Linked DNA regions of Drosophila melanogaster. The protein of the gene in region 2 interacts with the protein of the main gene of each other region in a biochemical or structural test. Each region holds a gene or a part of one and is shown on either strand. Other genes may lie near its edges. The genes, in order: Parp1, His2Av, JIL-1 and Tip60.

Region 1 (5,926 bases), about 23 Mb from region 2:
TTTATTCACTGACACACTGGTGCCACTTTTTTACGATAATGTTTCGGTAATCTAACAAAAAAAAATTTTTTTGATCAGTGAAACTCAAAAGAGCTTTCATCGCTCCACAAAACATTGTTTCAGAATGATGCTGGCTGTCCAACATATTTTTTGGCAAAGTCGTGGCGTTTTAACTTATTTGTAGAGTTATTGTGGTATAACTCTGCTAACATATGTTCCAAAATCGGCTTCCTTAAGACGTTCCTTCACTGATATCGATTTCTGTTCCTTCTTTTAGTTCTTTGGCAACCGATCGGGGAGTTTGTAGAACATTCTGCTTAAACTTCCGTATAATATAACCATCGCCCTTTTGAGTTGTTTTACGTGGTCGGCCACTACGCGCAACGTTTTTGGTTGTGTGTGTTTTTTTATATTTATTTATTTGGTAATGCACCGTTGCCCGTGGAATTTTGTATAAATCAATGATAATTTGTACCGAAATACCAGAGTTATACTTAATTATTATTCAATTTTTTATAAATTCGCTCAGTTTCTTTGTTTTCCCCATGTTTAACAAATTTATGAATGAAATAAAAGTAGGCAGTCCCACGTTATCAAGAAAAAATGTTCAAATGATCTAAAAAAAAAGTCGAAAATTTGATATTCTTCGAACAACAGATCAATGCGAACTAATTAAATGTGTCTAAATACTTTTGCCACGGCCCAAATCGTTGCCTGTCTAGCTTTCTTATAAGCACAAGGATAATTGAAAAGGTAAACAGCCAAACTTACCCTTCGTGTGTAACTGTAATTGCACTTTTTGTTTTATCATCAATAGTTTACTTATTTATTTGACTGTACTATGAAAAGCCCGGCAGTTTCAAGCTAATGGTGTCTAAATACTTATGCCCACTAGTGTATGTACCTTTCCAGTATAATTTTAACTCAGCTGTTACATTTACGCTCAAATAATCACGACCCAGCCTAAATATAGCGAAAAATAGTTACATTATTTTCCTGCGGCGATACAACCAATGCCCATCGATTAAGGTCGACTTACATATATTAAATAACATTGTTAAATTCACTTGACTTTTCGACAAACTACAGGCGAAGTTATAGTTGATTTCCTCTACAATCTACAATTGTCAAAAAACTTTTGATATGCCCGCTTCACTCGGATCTGCATGTTTAATCGCAACCCAGTTTTATAGTTCCCACAATCACATCGTTCATACGGACATGGACAATTCGAGTCTTATCTTTTAGGGTGGGATCGATTATTTAATTTTTTTAGTGCCGGAAATGTTGCCTTTACCTGATAAATATTTTTTAACAAAGAATATACACTATTGTACCTATATAGTTGAAGGGCATCCCCAACTAAGGAATGACCAAGAAGAGATCAGAATACTTAGTGGATCAAATTACAGTTATCTATTTCAGTTTACAATCTTCAGTATAATCAAGCTTATTTTCTTTAAGAGGGATAACTTAATAATAGCAATGCAGAACAGTTACAGAACAGTTAATAGAAATTCAATGTGAGATTAACTTACGGTATGGCGTTTTTAACTTTCGCTTGATCATCATCTGCTAAGCTCTGAAATCCTGGCATATCTTCACCTGACGCAAACCAGCCAAGCTCAGAGCGCAATTGGGCGAAGCATTCCAAATGATGCCACAAAGGTTGGCCTCCGTACTTCATACCAACTTCAGTATCATAAACAGTTTTACGTAAGCGAACTAGATCCTTGTTTATTTTTTGTTCACATCCACGACACGTCGATCGACTAGATTTTGCATATTCAATCCCAAAGTCTTTTAATGCTAAGTTAAAAGCCTTCGATCGCTTTTTTCCTAATTGTGCGCTTATAACTTCTTGTATATTTTCTAAGTACATTTCAAAATGTTTTTAAATTGATATAGATCAATTTTAAATACTAACCCACAAGATCCGTTAATTCCTTTTGATCGGCAAATCGGAGATTTCCAATGTTTTGTATGTCTCCTACTGAGCTGGGACGCTGGTTTTTAAAAAAGCAGGTTTTATGAAACCAATTCGGAACTTTGGCATCATGAAATGCAGACTAAAAAATAAGAAATACAATAAAATAGTTTCTTTGTCTTTCGTTCGTTTGGTGTAACCGTTTCAATTAAAAAATAATAATAAAACGATTTTTCAAAAGTGTGTGCGTGGCAGTTTTGTGCAATTTTAGGGCTTTAAAGTGGGCGTGGCAAGTCGATAGAAATTTACAGAACTAATAAAAATGAAAAAAAAAAATATCAACACGTTTTTCAAAAGGGTTGGCGTTGCAGTTTTGTGCGGTTTGTGGGCGTTAGAGTTGCCGTGGCAACATGGGTCATGCTGCATCTATGTCTCTAGAATCTGTATGCTAAATCTCAACCTTCTAGATTTTATAGTTCCTGATATCTCGACGTTCATACGGACAGACAGACGGACATGGTATTCTTGATTGGCCTTGTCCTTTTGTATGAAAGCTATGATCTCGAAAACTATAAAAGCTAGTATTCATGTTTCGCTCTGTGAAAGTTTGTTTCAGAACGATCATCACCATGTGAGGACATGGCGAAAATTCAGCTGGTCTTACAATTTTTGCGGCCCCAACCACAGAACTGCAGCAAGCCACTGGCACTCTTAGTACACCCGCACCCACCAACTGGGTGTCTATACCCCCGGGTGTTTTTTGACACTCTACTTTCGGCAATAAAAAATATCCGAGTGTTTCGCCTGCTGCGAAATAACCCTTTGGGTGAGCGACTCACAAGCAACATTTTTATAGGTTGAAGCGTGACGGTAGAAGAAATGAAGGGTCGGTCCCACTGTCGGTCCCGCTGTCGGTCCCACTGTCAGTCCCACTGTTGGTCCGACTGTCAGTCCCGCTGTCGGTCCCACTGTTAATCCCACTGTCGGTCCCACGTCAGTCCCGCTGTCGGTCCCACTGTCGGTCCCGCTGTCAGTCCCACTGTCGGTCCCACCGTCAGTCCCGCTGTCGGTCTCACCGTCAGTCCCGCTGTCGGTCCCACTGTCGGTCCCAATGTCGGACCCACTGTCGGTCCCAATGTCGGTCCCACTGTCAGTACCAATGTCAGTCCCGCTGTCGTTCCCGCTAGTTTCGATTTCACGTGATGTTTGAGGACCTGTTTTCGTTTCTTCGGCCGCACGCATTGCCACACGCACACTGGGCCAGAGAACTGCAGCAAGCCACTGGCACCCTGTGGGTGAGCGACGCAAGTATTTGTGCCCCCACCGCTACACGATTTACCGCTGGCAATTACATGCCGCAGCTGTCGACGACCGATGGGACTAACGGCGAATCGGGATCTTTTAAAGTTTCGTAAATCAGTATCAGTTTAATCAAATTCATTTTCAATCTTTTATCTGCAGACTACTTACGTATGTATGTACCACATAGTAACTTACTTGAACCATGACAGCAATCCGAAGAGTATCTTTAGATATAGTACTTTTACATCCTTTGCAAGTGGCTCGTCCAGTTCTTGCATACTCAGCAAGATAAGGTAATTCAATATCCATATTACACTTTAAAGGAAGTCAATTTCAAGACATTTATTATTTATCGAATTATGTTGGCGATATTTTCCTAAATAATAAAATTGTATATCGATGTTAAAGACTACAAAAATATTATTATAGACGATTTCCAATGATTCTAAAGACCTTGTACAGGAGCTCATTCCGTAATTAAGCTGTATTCTGTTATAAGACGTACGACTGTTAACTATATAACTTTGTAATTGAATTCGGCAACATTAAAATTCTGTGTCGATTATACACCAGCTAGTTTAACAAGAAAGGGTGGTCATTTGGAAGATTAAGAAGGAATGGTAATTATGTTCTTACTGAATAATAACACCGACCGTTTTAATTAAGGTCTGAAACTGAACTCAACAAATTGATATGGATTGATTGACTTTGAATCCTCGGCCTCGAGCTTTATAAATATGGGCTTTGGATTTTGGAGTTCCAATGAAATAAACAGAGCTTTGGAGTTACTAACATTGATTTGTCTTTGCATTTCTCTTGGACTCGAGTTCATTCGCTATTGGATACAAACGCTCTTAGATCCTCACGACTTTGTTTATTGAAATCTTAAAATAAAGTTTTCGATTATCATCCTGTATACGACTTTGGGCTTATTCCAGTCAGGATTGCTTTTGGTTTACTAGTGTTGTTCTTCTATAATAAGAAGCTGTGTGTAGGCATGTGCTTAAGTCTAATGGACTTATGGATATGCCACTCCCCCAACCATTAGTTTTGGCAAAGACACTAGAATAACAAGATGCGTAACGGCCATACATTGGTTTGGCACTATGCAGCCACTTTTTTGGTGACGGCCAAAATTGCTCTCTTTCCGCTCGCTCACGCTGAGAACATAAGAAATCTAAAAATAGAATTTGCTTGCTTGTGTGAGTAAAAACAAGAGACGAGAACGCGTATATGTGTGCGTGTTGTGCTAGAAGACGATTTTCGGGCCGAAATCAATTCTGATCAAAGAAATGAATTTACATTGTACATATTAGGGTAGTTTTTTGCCAATTTCGTAGCAATATGATGAAATAAAATAATTTTTAAAAATTCGCGCCCTTCTTATTATAATTTTAAAATTTTAATTTTAATTTTAAAATTTTTTAATTTTAAAGCTTTTTAAATTCGTTTGTTAAAATCGCCGCTCGAATTAGCTACCGTTTACATATTTATATTTATGTTGATAATTATTTATGTGTAATATGTGTAATAGTCGGTACCCAGGGAACACCACGGGGAGGCCATTACAATTGTAATGGGGTCTTATATTTACGTATATGACCTTCGAGTCGACTTGAAATATTTTAATGTTTAACATTAAAACATTTCCACATTCCCCAATTAAGTTATTTTTCTAACTATTGTTTTTTATTATATACTGCTCGATTTTTCAGTCGTCAGTTATTTAAATAACATACTGAAAAACAACTGAATCTAATGTGCATTTTAAATAATAAAAATGGATCATTATCATATATAAATCATATTAAGTCAAATGACTTAATAAGTATGCTAAATAATTAAAGGAAGTAAAATATAAATTATTATAACTACTTATAACAAAAGGAATACATTACATCGAGAAATAAATATTTCATAAAAATAATACGAAGTAGAAAATACAAATTTGTAAAATAAATAAAAATATGAAAACTGTTTATTGCAAAAGTCACATCAAAGACACTAGAATTATTCTAGTGTCTTTGCTTTGTTCATATCTTGAGGCACGAAGTGCGGACACAAGCACTCAACAATCATTGCCTTATTAATTTTTCACACGCCGCAAGATGAATACTCTAATGACAAATATTCTTATATAAAGTCATTTTTGAAATTTATTTTTGTGATATTATGTACATAGATTTGGCTATTTCTAATCTATTTTCAAATAATAATAACGTTAAGGCAATGCAAAACAAGAATTTTTCGCATGGTGCCAATTGATCAAAAATAATATAGATTTAAAGTCTAAGAACTTCTACGGTGAAGGGCATATTTTGTCAAATTTACAATGCATGAGCATACGTGTGCACACATAAAGTTGTCTGCTATCACTGTATGCGTAGAAAAGAGCGGTTCGCTGTAGCGCTCTCCGCTCTCTCGCTCTCTAACAAAAATTCGAGAGAGCCTGGAGCCACCTCTAGAGCCACGGCGAAAATATCGTGTGCCAAAAAATCGTATGGCGTTACTCATCTTGTTATTCTAGGGTCTTTGTTATATGCAATCCGACTTAAATAAATTTGTATGTATGAATAGATCAGTTATTTGTTAAATAGCAAAGTTTCTGATCTCTTAAATTTGTTTTTATATCCTTTTTTCAAAAACATAACAAAAAATCTTAATTTTTTGGCTCAACTGAATATGTTTTACACTTTT
Region 2 (5,829 bases):
ACTTCTCCTCCTCCTCCTCATCATCTTCGCTGGCGGAGATTTTTTCGTCCAGTGATGAGTTCAAGACTGGCGAATCAATTTTTTTTGCTTTCCTGGCTGTTGCTGCCTTGCTCGTGCCGGGCGGACTTAGATTATTGTTGCTGCTGGTCTGTGGCTTCATCTTAAAGTCGAGATCTCCGTTGTTTGGAATTTTCAGCTGCTTCAGCGCACTTGAGAACCAACTGCGACACTTGTCGTAGTCCGGCTCCTGGTTGTGTGTTAGTTTTGAGACATACTTCATGAAATCCCCAATTGGCGGGGGCACTCCCTTCGGAAACAGCGTCTTCAGACTCTCGCCTATGTTATCCATAAATGCTTCCTTGGCCTTTTGAACTTTGGGGGGTACAGCCAGTAGTTTCTGCGTGACCCACGGCAACTCCGCGCCCAGCCACTCGATGAGATTGTAACCGAGTATCTCCAGATCAGCTCGTCTGGTTGGCACGCCCAGATGAGCATCCCTTGATGTGTATTCTATGGTGCCATTATGCATCTTCTTGGGGTCCGGCTTGAAGTCACCGGTGACGAAGTGTGAGGCCAGGCCGAAATCCACCAGGTACGCCTGCGCAGCGCCGCCTTTTTCCAGGCCCAGCAGTATGTTGGCTGCCTTAAGATCGGCATGAACGTAGCCGTTGCTGTGCATGTACTGATAGACGTCCAGCATCTGAATGGCCAGTCGGTAGACAGTGCCCTCGGGCAGTCGCTTGCCGTTCTGTTCCAGAAACTTGGTCAAATCGCTGCCGTAGCGCGGCATGACTATAAATCGATGCTTTTCACCATTGACCTCCACGGAACCATTAGCCAGTATGTAGGGCATGCCCAGGGACTTGAGACCGTGCTTCTGCATGAACTGTTTGATGTCCTCCAGCTTGGCGTTGCGCAGGTAGAAGTGCATCTCCACGAACAGAGGACCATTGCCATGTGGCTCCTAAAAATACGATTATAATAGCAAATCTCCACAAAAAAAAAACGAGCGGCACTCACGCATTTGACCACAGCATCGTAGTTCTTCTCACCCACTTTGCAAGCCGCGTAGATCTCACCGAATCCTCCAACTCCGATCGAGGGTCCAATGCGCCACTGGCCTTTGGCTAAATCGGTGAAAACTGTGCCCTCCTTCACCTTCTCCGGCATCTTGTACAGCTTGCTCTTGGCCTTCTTGGCCGACACCACCTTCTTGGCCGGAGCGGCGGCTTTCGGCTTGGCTACACGCGGCATTCTCTGGGCAAGATCGTCGTTAAATAGCGGCCAAGTATAATATTCGCAAATTCCGCTCGAAATGCCGGGCCATCAGGGTTGCCAATCGGCGCGGGGAGTAGCGTCCTTCAGGGTTGTCAAGTGAGTGACAGCTTAAAAAAAAATATAACCCAGTAGGACTACTTGTAAAAACGACGTATTTCCAGGGCTGTTGCCGAGTCATTGAAACATAAAAATAAAAAAGGATGATTATGATTTCAAGGATATATTACGATAGACAGCTCTGCAAAACGGCGCCACTTGGCAATGTGCGGCCACAAAAGGAAGCTACCATCTAGGGGTGAGGGCATATCGATTGGCCACACATCGATATATTCCGTTCCACCCCTGGCGTCCGCTGACGGCGTCTTTTCCCCGAAAAAATTTCAAGTAGTCGAAACCGAATTCCGTAGAAACAACTCGCACGCTCCGGTTTCGTGTTGCAACAAAATAGGCATTCCCATCGCGGCAGTTAGAATCACCGAGTGCCCAGAGTCACGTTCGTAAGCAGGCGCAGTTTACAGGCAGCAGAAAAATCGATTGAACAGAAATGGTAATATTGCGGTGAATTTTTGAGCGGCAGCGCATCTCGCTTTTCCCACTGCGCGTGCCCCCCGCGAATTAAATATTGATGCGGGGATTGCGGAGACGCGGACAACAAAGTGCACGCAAAGTGGACACCACGTAGGCCGCAACAACAAGGAGCAGCGAAATCGGCGGGCATTTGTTATTGTGCTGCTGCGGGCAATCGGCCGTAACCTCACTTTGGCAGCGGTGCCTCCATTTTGTGTTTTCTTCTGCGACTCGTGCCACATTCGCTTTAATTCGTTATTTTAAGAAATGCATTGTGCTGTGTCTATTCGCAGGCTGGCGGTAAAGCAGGCAAGGATTCGGGCAAGGCCAAGGCGAAGGCGGTATCGCGTTCCGCGCGCGCGGGTCTTCAGGTGAGTTTTACAATCTGTACCTCGGTTTTTGGCGCCTTTTCGGTACCCACCTCGCCAACGAGCATATTCCACCACACTAACAGGGTGCCCGCCTTCGTTGGTTGGTTGGGGTTGACAAAAACATAAACAAGCCAGCCGGTCAAGCCAATTAACCAGTTACCTGCCTCTTATGTCCCGGACAGTTCCCCGTGGGTCGCATCCATCGTCATCTCAAGAGCCGCACTACGTCACATGGACGCGTCGGAGCCACTGCAGCCGTGTACTCCGCTGCCATATTGGAATACCTGACCGCCGAGGTAAGTGTGCTTCCGCCGAGTTTTCCCGCTTTTCTCTCGTGGTACTTTTTCTCGCTTCAATGTAAACAGCATTTACCAGAAATATTCAAGGGAAACATTTTTTTTTCCACAGTTGCATTCTCTCCACTTTTCTTATTGTGTACAGTTATTTCGAATTTCCCCGTTCCAATTCAAAAACACACTTTCTTATTGACATTTCGTGTGGAATGAGAATGATGAAAATGTACATCTAATTCATGAAATGCTCGAGGCGCACATTATCAGTTGTTTAAATCTAAATAACAGTAGTTTCGATTTAATGTATAACGCTTTTAATTTTCTAAGAATTATACAGTTTTATAGAGTTTTTGCGCCATTAGGCAGTTACACTTTTCCCGCCTTTTTTCCGAATATAACGTTTACCGTTGAGTTTTTTTTTTTTAATGTTGTGATGTTTATTTAAAGAAATTTTATTTAAAAGATTTCAAAGTTTGTTTTGGTAATGAGCGATACAAGTAAATAAATTGCTTTAGCTTTTGCTTATCCTCAATTGAAATCTTTGATTAATTTCTTTGGTTTTCCCAATCATTTTAGGTCCTGGAGTTGGCAGGCAACGCATCGAAGGACTTGAAAGTGAAACGTATCACTCCTCGCCACTTACAGCTCGCCATTCGCGGAGACGAGGAGCTGGACAGCCTGATCAAGGCAACCATCGCTGGTGGCGGTGTCATTCCGCACATACACAAGTCGCTGATCGGCAAAAAGGAGGAAACGGTGCAGGATCCGCAGCGGAAGGGCAACGTCATTCTGTCGCAGGCCTACTAAGCCAGTCGGCAATCGGACGCCTTCGAAACATGCAACACTAATGTTTAATTCAGATTTCAGCAGAGACAAGCTAAAACACCGACGAGTTGTAATCATTTCTGTGCGCCAGCATATATTTCTTATATACAACGTAATACATAATTATGTAATTCTAGCATCTCCCCAACACTCACATACATACAAACAAAAAATACAAACACACAAAACGTATTTACCCGCACGCATCCTTGGCGAGGTTGAGTATGAAACAAAAACAAAACTTAATTTAGAGCAAAGTAATTACACGAATAAATTTAATAAAAAAAACTATAATAAAAACGCCAATCATGTTATTTCCAAAAAAAAAAAAAAAAAAAAAAAAAACTAGACGAGATGTTTGCGCTTGTGTCGATGAATGTAAAGAATTGCAACTACATAGATGGTAATTAATTTCAGCTGTAAGAAGTACAAGTTTTTCATAATTGTGAGAAAAGTGCAGTAGTATCGCTTAAAGTTCAGTTTTAATCAGGGCATTTAGCAGCTCGAACCCAATGTATTTGTAAGCCCAATAAACGTGTAAATGCCTAGAGCAAAATATCACAACTGTAGCTTTTCATCCGAAAGATAATAATGAATAGACTGACCTGACGTTTTTCAAAATGCGTATTATTTCAAAGAAGTTGTTATATATTTCATTGAATAGCGAGCATTTACACAATTAACTGCTAAATTAGACATTTTTCGGATTAAGGAAGCAAGTAGTAACTACCTATTGCATACTACAGAAGTGGATATGGAAAATGGGCTGTGTCCTAACCCAGAAGATGGGGCTGAGCCCGCTGGACGTCGTCGCAACGCTCCTTGAGGTCCTCGGGATCCAGCTCCAGGCAGGCGCCCCACTCCACCAGGGTGATGCGATGGTCCTTGTTGGAGTCGCAGGACTCGAGGAAGGGTGCGATGCAGTGCTCGAGACTGACCAGCGGAGCACGGATGGGGAAGAGCTCGTGGCGCGAGACGGAGCGATCGGTATCGCCGTCCAGGTCGCACCACTTCCACACGGCGGCGTTCGACCAGCGACGCGAGTTGTTGGTCTCCGCCTCCAGCTCCATCTGCATGTAGTGCTCGGTCAGCTCGTCGCGCTCGGCCAGGTCGCGCATCACGTTGAACAGCCAGTCGCGCATGCGCCTGGGGAAGTCCTTCAGGTCCTCGCCCTCGCAGCTCCTGGGCTCGTGGCAAGCGCCGTAGTAGTCGATGTGCATGTGCGCGTTGTCCGGATTGGTGCAGCCGGGCTCGCCGCTGTCGCACCAGCAGCGCTGCTGATACACAGAGCAGTCCGACGGCCAGGTCTCGTTGGTATTGGTGCAGACCAGGCGGCGAGTGTCCACCTCCTCCGGGCACTCCGGAATGCACACGCATTTGGGCTTCTCGTCGTGCATCTGGCAGATGCGACCGGCTCCGCAGCTCATCGTTTCGCACAGATCCACCTCGACAACGGGATTGAGTAGATTGTGCTGCACTTCGGCCAGCTTGGTGGCAATCTCATTCTCGCGCTCAATATCCTTGATCTGCGAATGGAATTCAGTTAGTGCATTAAGTGTGATTTGTGGTTTGACTTGCGGCCACATGCCTTGTTCTTCTCCTCCAGCAGGCGCAGGAACTCCTCTTCGTTCTCATCGATGTCGGACAGGTCGAGGTCCTCATCCAGCAGATCTTCGGAAAACTCCGTAGAGGCCTGGACGTGGCTCACAGCCAGCAGGCCCAAGCCGAGCAGCAGCCAAAGGGAGCGCATCTCGAATGGCGATCTCAACTACAGGGATTGCAAGTAAAGCATCTTTAAAACACCTTTTTCTTCTCTTTATATTTAAACTATATATTTGGAACTAAAAGTGCCTTTATAAATAGAGTACATTATCAAGTCATTGCGATTGTGAAAACCCAAATTACATTGAGATTAGCTGTGGCCCTGGCCCAACTTCCGTTTCAAGGATTGGTTTGCGACTGTACCGTGTGCGCTGCGTCGTTACTGTACTCCACTGGCGATCTTGTAACCACCAAACAACGGGGTGGTTTTACATGCACATCTCGTGCGGCGTCTTTTTGCTCATTGAAAACAATTGAAGAAGCCGCAAAAATCTTGCAGGGTTCAAAAGGTCAACGCGAATGTGGCGCGCAGATACAGATGCATTTCCTTTTATGGGCAATTTTATTTATGGATCTTTAGATCTTGTGGAACAACAAAGCCAACTCATTGATGGCGGAAGATGACTACTGCAGATCTGGAGTTTTTAAAATAGAAACAAAGTCGGGGGAATGGATAAAATCTCAGAATTTTCAATGTTTGCTTTTCATTTCCTGCTGCCTGCTGCAAATAAGCATTTTTCTCGCTTTTTGCAACCGCAAATTTGAAATATGTTTGAATATTTCAGAATTTGGGGCATGTTGAACACATGTTGAGCAGTTCAAATCGTTTATGAAATCATCTATATATGCAGATGCTCCCATTAATGCGAATATACCTGATTAAAGCTGACCTT
Region 3 (6,311 bases), on a different chromosome or scaffold from region 2:
GTTCTTAAACTGAATAACAGACCAAAAAAAAAATGACTAGGCAAAGTTTAATGAACGCAGACCGAAAGAATATGAATAATAATATGAAAACCGCAACAAGTTGAGAACGTTCTGATAGCAACAATTTCGATTTTCTATTTTTACTTCTCATTGTCAAGTGTAAATTGTCGCATAAGAAATGTTTACCCCACTTAAAAGTAATGTTTATAATGTGCTAGCGGTACTGTACTGTACGAGGATATCGATTTTACTGATTAAAAAGTGAAAGGGGTGAAAACTACACAGATAAAAATGAAATGTAACAATACATTTGAATGCAGTTTTAATTAATTCGTTATAAGACAACAATTGGACATAATATTTTAAAAGATTTTGCTAACTTTACTTGAGAACCAATCTGTATTTTTCTCTGTGCATTGTGTAATTATTATTGTTAATTTACAAAAGGGTGGGGTTAATGATACAACTCACCCCTCCCCTCCCCCACCATTCTAGCAGCACCCGTTGCCGTGACGATGTTCTTGTGATAATTAACAGCAAACAACAAACACAGCTCACCTATCAATTTGAAGGCAATTATCCAGGAGGCTAACTCGTTGCCCTATCTTTATGTACATACCTACATACATACATATGTATCTATGCTTGGCAAGTTGCATTGCCAAGTTCAAGTAAATAAATTGCCTAGAAACAACAACCAACCGTTTATGCAAACAAGCATGTTTGTGAGTACAGCAAACGCTCGCAAACAGCGTTGCACGCACATTTGTACAAACAACTGACATGGTCACGACTGCACGGCGATGACGAAAAGTGGCACAGTGGTTCCATATGATATTATGAAAGATATAAGCCAGATATAAGAACTATTTAAGAAATAATACTACATCTTAATTATCGAGATAGATAGAAACTTTGATGAATTGAATTTTAATCGAAACTAGAGAAGGTTTAGTTTTTATCTAGATTTATTTTATTCGATTTATAAACAGCTGTTGTGAAAACCTCTTGACAAAAACGTTTACTTCAAAAAGGTGTTACTTTCCACACCAAAATCCAGACCAATGTCCTCAGTAAATAATATTTATTTAAAAATGCAACCGAAAAGTGTCAAATTTAACAAATAACAAGCAGCAACAATAGGTTTTCGACCCACGGTTATCAAATTAGACATTTGGGTGGTGGATATTCTGTCTGCTTTGTGTATATGTATGTAGAGTGTGGTGAGAGGTGAGTACGGCGAGGTTGGGCGATTTCAGGGGAGGTCAGTAGTTTTGGATTTGGCCCAAAGAGCGAACAAAGCCGGGTTGAGTTTTCTGGGTAATCGTGTCAAGGTTAAATGCATGTGCTCCACTTTAACAAAGAACGATAGAGACGGCACTTCATCTGGCATTGACCAGCCACCCTCTGCCGACATTTCAATAAAACCTTGAGACATCCACCCGGTTAAAGTTATCAATTATTCCACCACACTACCATGTTTGATAAGCTCTGTGGCAGCTGCCTTAAAATGGCATGAAATATTCACAGGGAAGAAGTTGCGGTTTAATTTGATATGGACGGAATTATTAAACTATCATATTTAACATAAGTACATCCTGACCTGCAACTTGTAACAAATTTTCTTATCTAGCTTGTGCTTGCAGTTGGCCCGGTCTTCTTTATCACTATCATTGAGTGGAATGACTCACCGTAGTATTTCAGATCGGTGACCGCCTCCAGGTCCCGTTGATGGGCCTCATTGTCCAGATCAAGGGGTGTACTATTGCTGGTGGGCATGGCGTAGGAGGGCGTGGTCGACGAGGAGGCCTTCGAGGCTGCTGCTGCCGCTGCTGCAGCCGCCGCCGCCGCCGCTGCAGCTGCATTGTTGGACTTGGCCTTGGACAAGCTGGAGCTGGATTCATCGATCTCTATCCCGTTCGGCTCATCCTCCTCCATGTCCTGGTCGTAGTACTCCCGCTCGGGATCGCGTCCGTCCTCGCTCTCCGCATCCGATATGCAAACAATATCCGCCACATTTGTGGTGGGCGGGGATGGAGGTGTGGGCGGTGATATGGTCTCGCGGTAAGTGTAATCCCTTGCAGATGCTGAAGTGGTCTTGCTGCTGCTATTGGTGTACTGACCGTTGGTGGCACTGATGCTGTTGTTGTTATTGTTATTATTATTGTAGTTCAAGGTCTTTCCAGAACCAGAGCCGGATCCCTCCGTATTCAGTTTGGACTTTTTCCCATTGGTCATCGTTTCGGAATTGCTATTCTTTCGCGTTTTGCCATTGCCATTGGCTACCAGCTGGCCATTTAGATGATTCCGCACCATTTGATCTGGCTCCTCGTAGGCTAGTGACTCCGATTCACGGGGATGTTGATGATTCTTGAGGCGCGACGTACTTGTACCGCTTAAGATCTCGTAGTTTTGCTTTTGCAAGCGACTCATGGCTAGATTCTTCCGTAAAAGATCCTATGCCTTTAATAATGCTCTACGTGCTCCTCACGTAATCGATGGATATTCCAGGAATTAACAAATAAAAATAAAAAGGTCCAGGGACTGATCGTGGCGCATCGTTGAGCTGGAAAAACAGAAATCAAAGTAAAGACATTTTTTCGAAAATCGCTAACAATTTGTAGACAATCATTAAACTTTTTGACACATTCTTATATGAGTACTGACATAAAGTTGTCATTTTGGCTAGCTAGACTGTTTTATTGTTGTAGTATTTTTAATTAGAAACTGAATTAGTTTTTTCTATTCATGGATGTTCAACAATGCATAGACAACATGTACGATATAAATGTTCCAGTTCACACATTTTAAATACTAAATAAATAATAACTGAATTGTTGAAATTTATTCCGCAAGATGTTTTGAACATAGCTGTTTCTTATTGTGTTCTATTTAGGCAATCTTCACCGTACCTTCCCAATGCCCATTGCCCATTTCTATCCCATTTCTTCATCCACAATATGGTACAGTTTCAACGCAGGCGGGAGTAATTTTCCCGCTGTTAGCGGACAATTGGATGGGGAAACTCATTTCTGAATAGAACACTATTTGGGAGTTCGACTCACCTCGCGAAAGATTATAAGCGCAATATTATAATGCAGACGAAGAAATCCGAATCGGAGTGTGTGTGTGTGTGAGTGGGTGGATCTGGATGGGGAGGGGGAAGAGTGTTGGATTATGCGTGGGGCGGTAGCGATGTGCAACACTGAACGTTCCAATGATAATGTGCACCGATTTATGCAGCACTGGCGTTGGCTTAAATATTATTCAACCAATTCGGTTGCGGTTTCTTTTCATTCTTCTTTTTTGCTTGTTATATTATGCCGTGATTATCACAATCTTTATCAGTCGCGCATTTTTCACTTCCACAGTTAGTTTTTTATTTTTTTTTTTCGATTTCTTATTCTTTACCGTTCTCTTTGCCCACAACTACGTACACATATGCACACTCACACGCTGGCACTTTCTGTATCGGCTGCGTTTTTAAAGCGTTTTTGTTTTCGTCCGCTGATTCCGCTCCGGCGACTGTTGCTCTCGATTTTCAATGGATTTTCCAATTTCCCTGCGTACGCTTGTACTTGTTTTTCAATAGACAATACAGTAACGTTTTGATATTGAGATTGAATGTTTTGTATAATTTGTTTTGTGTTACACGAGAAGGTTTTTACCGCCGCTTTCTACTCGTTTACGCACACACACATTGAAACGCAGGACGCTCTCCGCCATCTGCTTTGCTCTCATTCGTGAACACTTATTAGGTACGGACCACCTTGATGGGAATCGCGTCGATTTCCGTTACACTCGATCAAATCGGGTTTATATCTGTATTATAGTACAATATAATACAATTAAAATCGAGAGAGCCCTAAAACGATTAATGCCGGATAATTGGCTATTTGTAATTTCAACACACAGCACACGAACCGCACGTAGAAATTTTCCCTTTGCTTTTGTGTCACTTACCGTAGCTATCGTTATCGATAGTGTTGACAAGAGGCCAAAAAGCGTGGTGCTGGAAAGCAGCCGTATATCGGTTGGCAGGGATGGTGGAGACTATCGTTTCAAATATTTAAGAATATTATATTTTGATTAACAATTATAATGAAGAATAAATTTAAGGAAAATGTGAAAATTTCGTTTATCAATAGAAAAAATATAAGAATTACCATAAATTTTAGTTTGGTTTTATTGAACTATTTCGTAAGCTGCACGGACGTAAATAAACCTTAAAAAGTAACCATAATATTTGACAAATTCTTTCTCGCCAAGTCGGGAACTGTGCATCCATCTTTCGGATAACCAACGGGCAGTAGGATGAGTAATTTTTCATTGACGGGTCGCCCGAGCAGGTTTCTCAAGGCTGGACCGCAGTTCAAAGGAGTGGTGACCAGCGATGCGAGTCCTGCCGCTTGAAGGGCACACAAAAGGATACCGGCCGCAATCGAAGTGGATATCTCGTTGTAGTAATGCCTCCTCATTCGCTTTCCATTCTCCGACAATCCATAGGTCTGCTTGAAGATCAGTATAAGGTACGGCGCCTCGGTGAGATACTCCTTGACATGATTGGTTTGCAGGGGTCGCAGATCGGTGACCCACTGCGGATGCATCCTCTGGCTGTAGTTGACCAGCTCCTCCTGTTCCACAATTTCCCGAATGGATCGCTTGAGTTCCGGCTCCTGTACGACGCAGTACGTCCAGGGTTCTGTGTGTGCGCCACTGGGAGCTGTTCCCGCCGCCCGAATGCAGTCCTCTATCACGCTGAGATCCGGTTTGGGATGGCTATTAAAGGAGCGAATGCTACGGCGTCCACGCATGAGTTCATATAAGCGTTTGGCTCCATTAGGGTTGAGATTCTGGCCGGGAACGAAGGGCACATGGGGCTTATCCTCCAGAGCCGGTTGCAGTTCATCGCCAAGATCGGCAAAGTGTTCAACTGGAAAATAGAATAGAATAGCTTTATGTTCACCGTGGATAATCTTAAAACTTACCCTCCTCCTCGACTTGTTCATCTAAATTATATGTTTTTAATACGCGATTCCCTTTAAAAAACAATCTTTTTACGATCCATATCAGCGCCAGAGTGATAAATAAACTTGGCCAATGCTTGAGTAGCTTGGAGCTGCTGATCAGTTCGTCCACATCCATGGTGCTTCAAGATGTAACTGCTTTTGCGACGGAGAGAAAGTGGCTTTGCTTTTGCGCTCGGATTGGCTTATCACTTGGTTAAGTGGGTCACGGCTATTGCTGATAGCGATGGATGCTGGTGGATGGGTTTTGGTTTCCACTTCAGTTGTTGTTCCGGCAGCAGTAGGTGCAATGGCTGCCCTTGTGATGCTCGCACATCCTCTGTTGTCCCTTTTCGTGGGCACTCCTATCCGACATGCATTTTGGATTCTTAAGCATCTGATTGGGCTCACCCGGTTTTCGTTTTTGCGGCGGAATCGGTCGGCGTGTATTGTTGAGTGGAATGGCCTTCTGGTGAACCAATTGGCGCTTGTGCACCTCTCTCAGAATCTCGATGATCCGCCACTTGGCATCGAAGAATATAAAATCGGGAGCAGTGGTTAGCTCGGTACGTATCATATCGCAAAGCATCTGCACTTGCTGGCTATTCGCGGATTCCTGACCGGATGGTTCCTTCTCCATCAAGTGAGCCGGTTCTTTGCTGGATTCAGAAATATCTGAATTTTGCGGACTGGATACGGAATTTCGCGTAGATTGTGGTGGTGTTTCCCGACACGGGGGTTCACACTTTGAATTTTCGGCTATCCAGGGGCAGGAAACTGGGCTTTGTGAGGATTCCACTTCCGGCTTGCAGGGACAGGTCAAATTGGTGGATACTAAATCCTTCTCATGGCTGGACATCTTGCAATTGGAATGATGATGACTGGTTTTATCCTTACTGTTTTGTATGTTCTTCTGCTCCGATGGAGAGAGTGCGTCTTTCTGTTCCTGATCCTCCAACCCGCTGATTTTCTCTTCTACCGAAACTTCATGATCAGCGACTTTTTCTGCCTCCTGAATTTCCTGCTCTATGGGATTTTCTTGCTTCGCATTTTCTTGATCAGGAATTGGTTTGATCTTCTTGTTTGGCCGGTCTTGGGGGTCTTTTTTGGGCCTCTTGGTTAGTAGATTGCCGGGAAAACCGGCCAGAGGAAAATCCGTGAAATTGGTCAACTTTTGGCACAACATCTCTGGGTTGGCTATCGGATTTTGCAAAAGTTTTCCGGCGGCGAGTGGGCTAGTTCCACTGGCAGGAAGATCCTTGTCGAAGTGTATATTAAGATGTGGCACCAGGAAAAGAAATTCAT
Region 4 (6,377 bases), on a different chromosome or scaffold from region 2:
TTTTAAACGTTAACTTCATTTGCATGGCTTACATTTTTAGCCCCAAAATCAATAAGAGCTGGTTTCCCAACTATCGGTAAGCAAAATCAAACAACTTATTTCAGTTTTCTAGAAACTTTAAAAACCTGTTAGTTTATGTAAGGAAACCTACATATCTTGTTGTTATTTACATTTTCGAATTATTTTCATTTTTTTTTTATATAGTTATTAATAGCCAAATTTGACTCGAACATAGCTACGCGCCTATCGTTACAAAAATCTCCGTTAGCCGACTTCAAATGCTACCGATAGCAGCTGCGAAAGCGATAGCGTCGGCAATCGAATCCGAATTTCCCACTTTAAAAACTAAGAAGTTTTTGTAAGCCACTATGGAAACTCCACCCACTCCCACCACGACCACACCGCCATCATTGACAACTGAGGGCACCATGGACGACATCCAATACCTGCTGCACCTGGAGGCGATGCGCCGTTTTCAGGAAGACAGCCGCAATGTAAAGCGCCAGGTGGAGGAGCAAGTACGCATTTGGCTGGACGCCAAGTGTGAGTATCAGCGGGACTTTGGGCGGCTGGCGAGGCTCCTGAAGTGCGGAGCCCTGCAGGCGGCCGTGGATGCCCATCGTGTATCTGATGTGAATCAAGTCGACCAGGCGGCCAAGGATATCGCTAGTTTGCGATCCAAACTGGGCAGTGATCTGCGTCCCGCCATTCTGGACTCCAACGATGTGAAGCAGTGCCTGGAACATCTGAACACCACCCACAAACCGCGCCTAAATCTATGCCGGCAACAACGGGAGTTCGCCCAGAACCAAGAAGCTCTAAGAAGTTTGCGTACCGCCGTCGATGGATTGGAGAATGGTATGGAGATGGGCATGATACAGGCAATGGACCGCCTTGTGGAGGATCTTCTCCCACCGCGGGAAACAAACAACTAGCCGGTCGTCTCAAAAGTATATATAATATTGTATGATATAAACTAGTTTATAACATTAAAAACGGAAACTGTAAATGAAAACTACAAGCTACAACGAAGCCAGGATCATCCGATGAAGAATATTGGTAGCGGAAATCTAAAAACAAAAAAAAACGGATTCAAAGCTGTTTAAACTCAGTTATTTATACGGAGAAGATGAGGAGATTACCATTTGGAGCGCTTGGACCAGTCTTTGGGTGTCCAGTGCAGGCATTTCGAGTCGATGCGGATCTTGCGCTTGTCCATTGCTCGCCGGTGTTGCTCGATGATAACCCGGTTGATGCACACGATGTACTGGCCCTTGTAGTAGTTGATCAGGTTCAGGTTCTGCAGCGTTGAGATCACGTCCTCTTTTTTGATGGATGTGCATTCGCAGATGTCGCTGTGAAGAAAAATTTTGGGAGCATGATTAATCTATGTTTCGGCAATGAAGCACAATCTCTGTGGATTGAAAATTGTATTACTTTAAGCTTAGAACTAGCCATACTTTATAGTTATAGTGGGCTTTTCGCCGTCCGTGCTCGGGTTTTGGCTGATAAAGATCTCCAGTATGGTTTGCGCCCAGTACGATCGATAGGACAGCAAACCCAGATCAGACAATGGTTTCTCCGGCGATCCCGTCTTGCCCTCGAACTTGGACAACTCGTAGCTGAACTCAATGAGCAGCTTGCCGTAGCCCTTGCGCTGATACGGAGGCATTGTGAGAATGCAGGCCACGTTGTAGTCCTCTGTGCTCTCCTTCTCCTTGGAGAAGTACCCTACTATGTGGAAGCCGCGCGAGTCGAACTCTGTCATTACGTAGAAGAGAAACGGATCGGTATCATAGTAGAGTGTCTTGTGGTCGAGAAAGAGTTTGGCAAGCAGGCACAAGTTCTGGGCATACACCTTGTTTTTGCGTCCATCGATTTCAAAGAAGGAAATTGTATGTTTGCGATAGATCTCGTTTCCCGGTGGATGCCTAAGATTGCACTTGGACAGGTGCCTCTCCAGGCACTTCCTGCTCTTCCTGTACTTCAGGCAGAACTCGCAGATGTAGATGCAGGGCATTTGACACAGCTCTTGCGGATAGGGTGAGAAATACCAGGGCTTAATGCGATGCCTGCCCAGCTCGATCATCTCCACGTTCTTCATGCGGGTGACCACGTCGTCCTGGTGCGTAACCATGCTGCCTGATTGCCTCGGCGTGGGCGTCTTGCCATCCTGCGATCCATCACCATCATCATTGGCCGCTCCGCTTATTAAACCGTCGCCGGTCACATGCACGGGCGTAGCCGTGGGTGTCTGCGGAGTTGTAGGATGCGGATGTGACTGCTGCTGTTGACTGGTCAGACTGTGGTGTCCATGGGCCGAGCCTCCGTGGTTTTTTCGCTTGCGATTGATGCGTTTCTGAAGGGCTGCGGCCAGATTGTTGCCATTCACAAGCTCTCCCCCACTGCTTGGTGTTCCGGGTGGAGCCACAGAGTTTGGAATGCCAGCAGGGGGAGGAACACTGCCTGATGCACCAGTAGGAGTCTGGGGGATGGCTGCCAGAGCCCCGGAACCAGGGTGTTGCGGTGATGTAGGCCGAGAAACGCTGCCCGCTAGGGAATGGTGGCGCTGTGGCGTGGTCACTCCAGTGCTGGTGCCTGTTTGTGAGCCGTCTCTCCGCGGAAATTGCACCTTTCGCGTGTACAGATCCTCCTCGTTGACCCACTCGTCCAAGCGCTTGTTGACTGCGGATTGGCAGTTATACTAAATATGCTCCCACTGGACGACTTGGTACTCACAGTCCACATAGTGCACGTAAAACTGCCGGCGCCCATCCAACTCCTTGATGCTCACAATCTCCGCTAGTGGCCAGTCGTCCGTTTTGTGCATCCTGACGGGTAAACGACATCCCTCGGTTAGGGCGGCCTGCAAGTTTGCGGTTAAAACCATTAGAATGAACACCCAAAACACGCCAAGGCGTAGCGGAACCCACCGTTGACTCGCATATGGAGGCCACATCGTCGTCGAACTCATATTTGTGGTTAATTTTCATTTGTTTATATTTTACGCGTTTTTTTTTTCCTAAAACAGCAGTATTGCCAGATAGCGAAACGTAAATAACTATCGACCAATCGATTACCGCCACAGTGAATCAGCGGTTTAAAAATGTTGATGACATGGGCAGTGCTGCGCAGCGTCGCGTCGCCTTTTCAAAGTGCTGCACAACACAACAACAATTCCAGAGAGTTTTTCAATTCGGGTTCGGTATTTTTTCTCATGTGCCTACTGTGCAATTAAACAATTTCGCCCGCTTACAAACAACTGTAACATATTAAGCACAACCGTTCGACTCAATTGCAGTTGCTAGAACTTGAGTGCGCAGTTATGTGCTCCCTTCTTTTCAGTTGCCAAACCAAAAAATAAAAACGCTGAGAAGGTCAGAGAAATGTACACAGGCGTAAATTTGTGTGCGTGTGTGTGGGTGCGTACATTCGTGTGCGCTCGTGTGAGTGCGCAGAAAGTTATACAGCTGTCATCGACTGGCGTATTTATCAATAAATGACTACTGTGATCCGCGGAAAACTTCAGTTACTGGGTAATTGTGACCACAACTGCTGGGCAACTGTGCCGCAGTGCCCCAATGCTGACGAGCTGAGCGGGAAATTGGTGAAAAAGCTGTGTCAAAATGACGTGTTTTGCGATAGTGTTGCCACTGACAACAGCCGCAGGGCTGCCAACTCGATGGGCATATCCCACTAATTAGTTGCAAAACGGGCAGGCAATCTCGTGTTGATTAGTAAGATGCAAGCCTAGAGCAAACGCCGATTTAGCAATCTCAACGGCTTGCCCCTACAAACAACAAACAGCATTTGTCAACCCTGGCACGCAGCGTAGTTAGCAACACTGCTTTTTAGCCAAAAAAAAAAAAAAATAAAAAAAATGAATATGGAAAGAGACCAGTGCTTTTTAAAGAAATTCGAAGTCAGTGGGCCGCAAGGGGTCGCCAAAGACTAAACAGACGCACCTGCTACCACCCACCGCCCCTTGTCGCTCGTCCGCATGACCAGAACAACAACAAATGCTGCAAAACACCCAGTCAGTGGTCCAATGTCTCAGTTTCAGTTTTAGTCTCAACTTCATCCCCATTTCCCAATCAATTGCAGATCCGTGCGCACACATTTCCGTATTCCGGTCTGTTTGCGAGCAATCCGCATCCCCGTGCCCAGGAACCTACGTAAATGCCGCGAGCAAAGGTTTGAGCCGGAGGAGAGCTACTGACGACAGGCCTGTCAAGTGCAGCAGGAGTCCAAACTGATGCGCAATAGGTGGGCTCCCCTGTGCCTCAAACCGTCTGGAAGTCGAGAGGAATCGTTAGGAATCGGCGGAACAGCCTGCAGAGCACTTGCAGTCGCGGTGGCAACCACACGGCGGCTGGGCAGCTGGGCTACCTAGAAACATCGCGAAGAGAAGAAACAGTTTGTAAGCAGTTAATGGGAATGCGAGATATACCCGTTTACTAAAACAAACATTCCCCTCTTCTCACACGCCCTAACAGATTCGAGGAATTCGAATGGCATTTGTTTTTCTCCTTCGTTGCATGCCACCAAACGAAAGAAGATGAACAATGAACAAACGCCGTCATCATCGGACACACCGGCGGATCGTGTGGCATCTGGTGGAGCAGCTGCCAAACTGCCAACGATCATACCGGACACGCCCATCGTCTCGATTGCCGCTGGCACGATGAGCGAGAGCACCACGACGACCACCGTCACCAAAACAACGCCGACGCCGTTCCCACAGGAGCAGCTTATGACCATGATGTCAGACCATGTGGCGAAGGCAGACGCGCAGCTTGACGAGGCCTGTAGGAACCAGGGGGCCAAAGACGAGGACAGCCAAGGAGCGGCACCAGTGGCTGCCAACCATGTAGCCACCAGCGGCAGTAGCAGCAGAGGCAATGACCCCAAGAAGTCATCATCCCCTAGTAATAGCCATAGCTCTGGTAACCACGCAGCCACGGCAGACGCTGCCAAAGGATCCGCAGCAGAAGCAGCAGCAGGAGATACGTCCTTCTCGCAGGTCTTTGCCATGCTAAAGGATTCGCCCAGCGCTGAACTGTCGCGACCAAACCGCAGGGTACTCCAGTACGGAGCCACTGCCAAGGGCAAGACCCAGGACGATCAGAATGTCGGCAAGCGACAGAAGAAGAAAAAGGTAAGTGCGCTCTGGCTGAGTTGCATCTTAAGGTGGAAATATAGTGCATGTTAAGCAGAAACCGAGTTAAGATATTGTTTTATTAAGAAAAAGGTATAGTTATGTTTGTTACTCGCAAAATTTCACATTTGTGTACGTTCTGGAGGCTCCAAAGCTCTATGGTGTTTGGACTCCATATCTTATGCATGGCCAGGCTTGAATAGAGCTCTACCAGGGCGACTAAGTTGAGAAACAACTAAGTAAACGTAAAATTTGAAACTAATTTCGATTTTGGGTGGAATTCCAGTATTGGACAGCAAGTTGTCCGATCTTTACGTTACCACCAAAACCAAGGTATACATAAATTAGATATAAATATTGTTTATTTGCACACTAAGCTATAAACTAAAATAGATTCTTACGCTTGCGGTCCATTAAAGTTGTCGAAAATGAAAATGCCGAAATCCCCTTAAAACATGACCTTTGGAAAAAACTTTAAGTGAGCCGATTACTCACTCACAAACACTGTTTTATCGAAAACCGAATTTTATTAAAAAAAAAATAAATATTGACAGTCAAATTGCATCCCCCTAATGAATACATACTCACATACATACATATATGTATGCGAATAGAAGCCAAAGTACCGTTTACGAAGTTAATGGCAAAGAATTCGAAAATGATGTAGAAATAGACCAAGCATACTGTTATCTCGTTCTGACTGACTGGGATTGTGGCTTTCGAAATAGTGCCGTTACATTTGGTCCCATCAAGTAATCGCCACACAGGAACTTCAATTTCTGATCGCAGTCGGTTTTTTGACCAGCGCCTTCGATAATTATTGAAATCAAGACCCCGAATCGGGCAGAAGGAACGGATAAAACCGCAAAGCGTTTGTTTATCTTATAAAAGCATTGGTGACATCCGCGGCATTAACCACGAAAACTTCTCGCCTATTCCCGTTATTATTTCAGTTATTGTTTTTTTTTTTTTTTTCTGTTTTCTTGTGTTCGTGTGCAACACCATATAGTACACATGTGTGTGCGTATGTAGAGCGTTTACTTACTGGAACCGTGTGCCATTTAATACTTCTATTGCTCTGCGGTCGGTACTTCATCAGTTCGCATAAGGAACTCAGAAGGGCATGTGTTTGGAATAAGTGGAGCTCCGAATTCTTTTGTTTTTTTTTTTTTAGGTTAAGTCGCAGCGATTATTGTTTTACACGCATATGTGTTCGTGT

The links.
Region 1: the proteins of His2Av (region 2) and Parp1 form a complex in vitro, tested with the Drosophila melanogaster proteins (one study listed by BioGRID).
Region 3: of the proteins of His2Av (region 2) and JIL-1, one has a biochemical effect on the other in vitro, tested with the Drosophila melanogaster proteins (one study listed by BioGRID).
Region 4: of the proteins of His2Av (region 2) and Tip60, one has a biochemical effect on the other in vitro, tested with the Drosophila melanogaster proteins (one study listed by BioGRID).

Annotation. Positions count from the first base shown.
Region 1 is NT_033777.3:3,583,442-3,589,367, forward strand, and holds the start of Parp1 (Poly-(ADP-ribose) polymerase 1), read right to left. Parts: upstream 3,614-5,926; 5' UTR 3,539-3,613; coding exon 3,425-3,538; intron 2,070-3,424; coding exon 1,928-2,069; intron 1,873-1,927; coding exon 1,539-1,872; intron 1-1,538. UniProt on the Drosophila melanogaster protein: Poly-ADP-ribosyltransferase that mediates poly-ADP-ribosylation of proteins and plays a key role in DNA repair.
Region 2 is NT_033777.3:26,865,271-26,871,099, forward strand, and holds His2Av (histone H2A variant), read left to right. Parts: upstream 1-1,658; 5' UTR 1,659-1,822; coding exon 1,823-1,825; intron 1,826-2,138; coding exon 2,139-2,216; intron 2,217-2,398; coding exon 2,399-2,512; intron 2,513-3,085; coding exon 3,086-3,316; 3' UTR 3,317-3,416; exon of another isoform or gene 3,417-3,471; 3' UTR 3,472-3,950; downstream 3,951-5,829. Other genes in the region: ball (ballchen), read right to left, coding at 1-964, 1,021-1,254; SPARC (secreted protein, acidic, cysteine-rich), read right to left, coding at 4,108-4,860, 4,923-5,084. UniProt on the Drosophila melanogaster protein: Variant histone H2A which replaces conventional H2A in a subset of nucleosomes. Nucleosomes wrap and compact DNA into chromatin, limiting DNA accessibility to the cellular machineries which require DNA as a template.
Region 3 is NT_037436.4:11,089,207-11,095,517, forward strand, and holds the start of JIL-1 (JIL-1 kinase), read right to left. Parts: upstream 3,988-6,311; 5' UTR 3,066-3,987; intron 2,651-3,065; exon of another isoform or gene 2,567-2,650; 5' UTR 2,434-2,566; coding exon 1,692-2,433; intron 1-1,691. Other genes in the region: Iyd (iodotyrosine deiodinase), read right to left, coding at 4,227-4,933, 4,989-5,145; CG46439 (uncharacterized protein), read right to left, coding at 5,287-6,311. UniProt on the Drosophila melanogaster protein: Phosphorylates 'Ser-10' of histone H3. May regulate gene expression by establishing or maintaining the structure of more open chromatin regions. Also required for normal polytene chromosome structure, for oogenesis and for viability throughout development.
Region 4 is NC_004354.4:4,113,860-4,120,236, forward strand, and holds Tip60 (Tat interactive protein 60kDa), read right to left. Parts: upstream 3,629-6,377; 5' UTR 2,994-3,628; coding exon 2,934-2,993; intron 2,867-2,933; coding exon 2,740-2,866; intron 2,686-2,739; coding exon 1,461-2,685; coding exon of another isoform or gene 1,451-1,460; exon of another isoform or gene 1,438-1,450; intron 1,356-1,437; coding exon 1,143-1,355; intron 1,071-1,142; coding exon 1,070-1,070; 3' UTR 941-1,069; downstream 1-940. Other genes in the region: dgt4 (dim gamma-tubulin 4), read left to right, coding at 369-935; tyf (twenty-four), read left to right, coding at 4,559-5,158.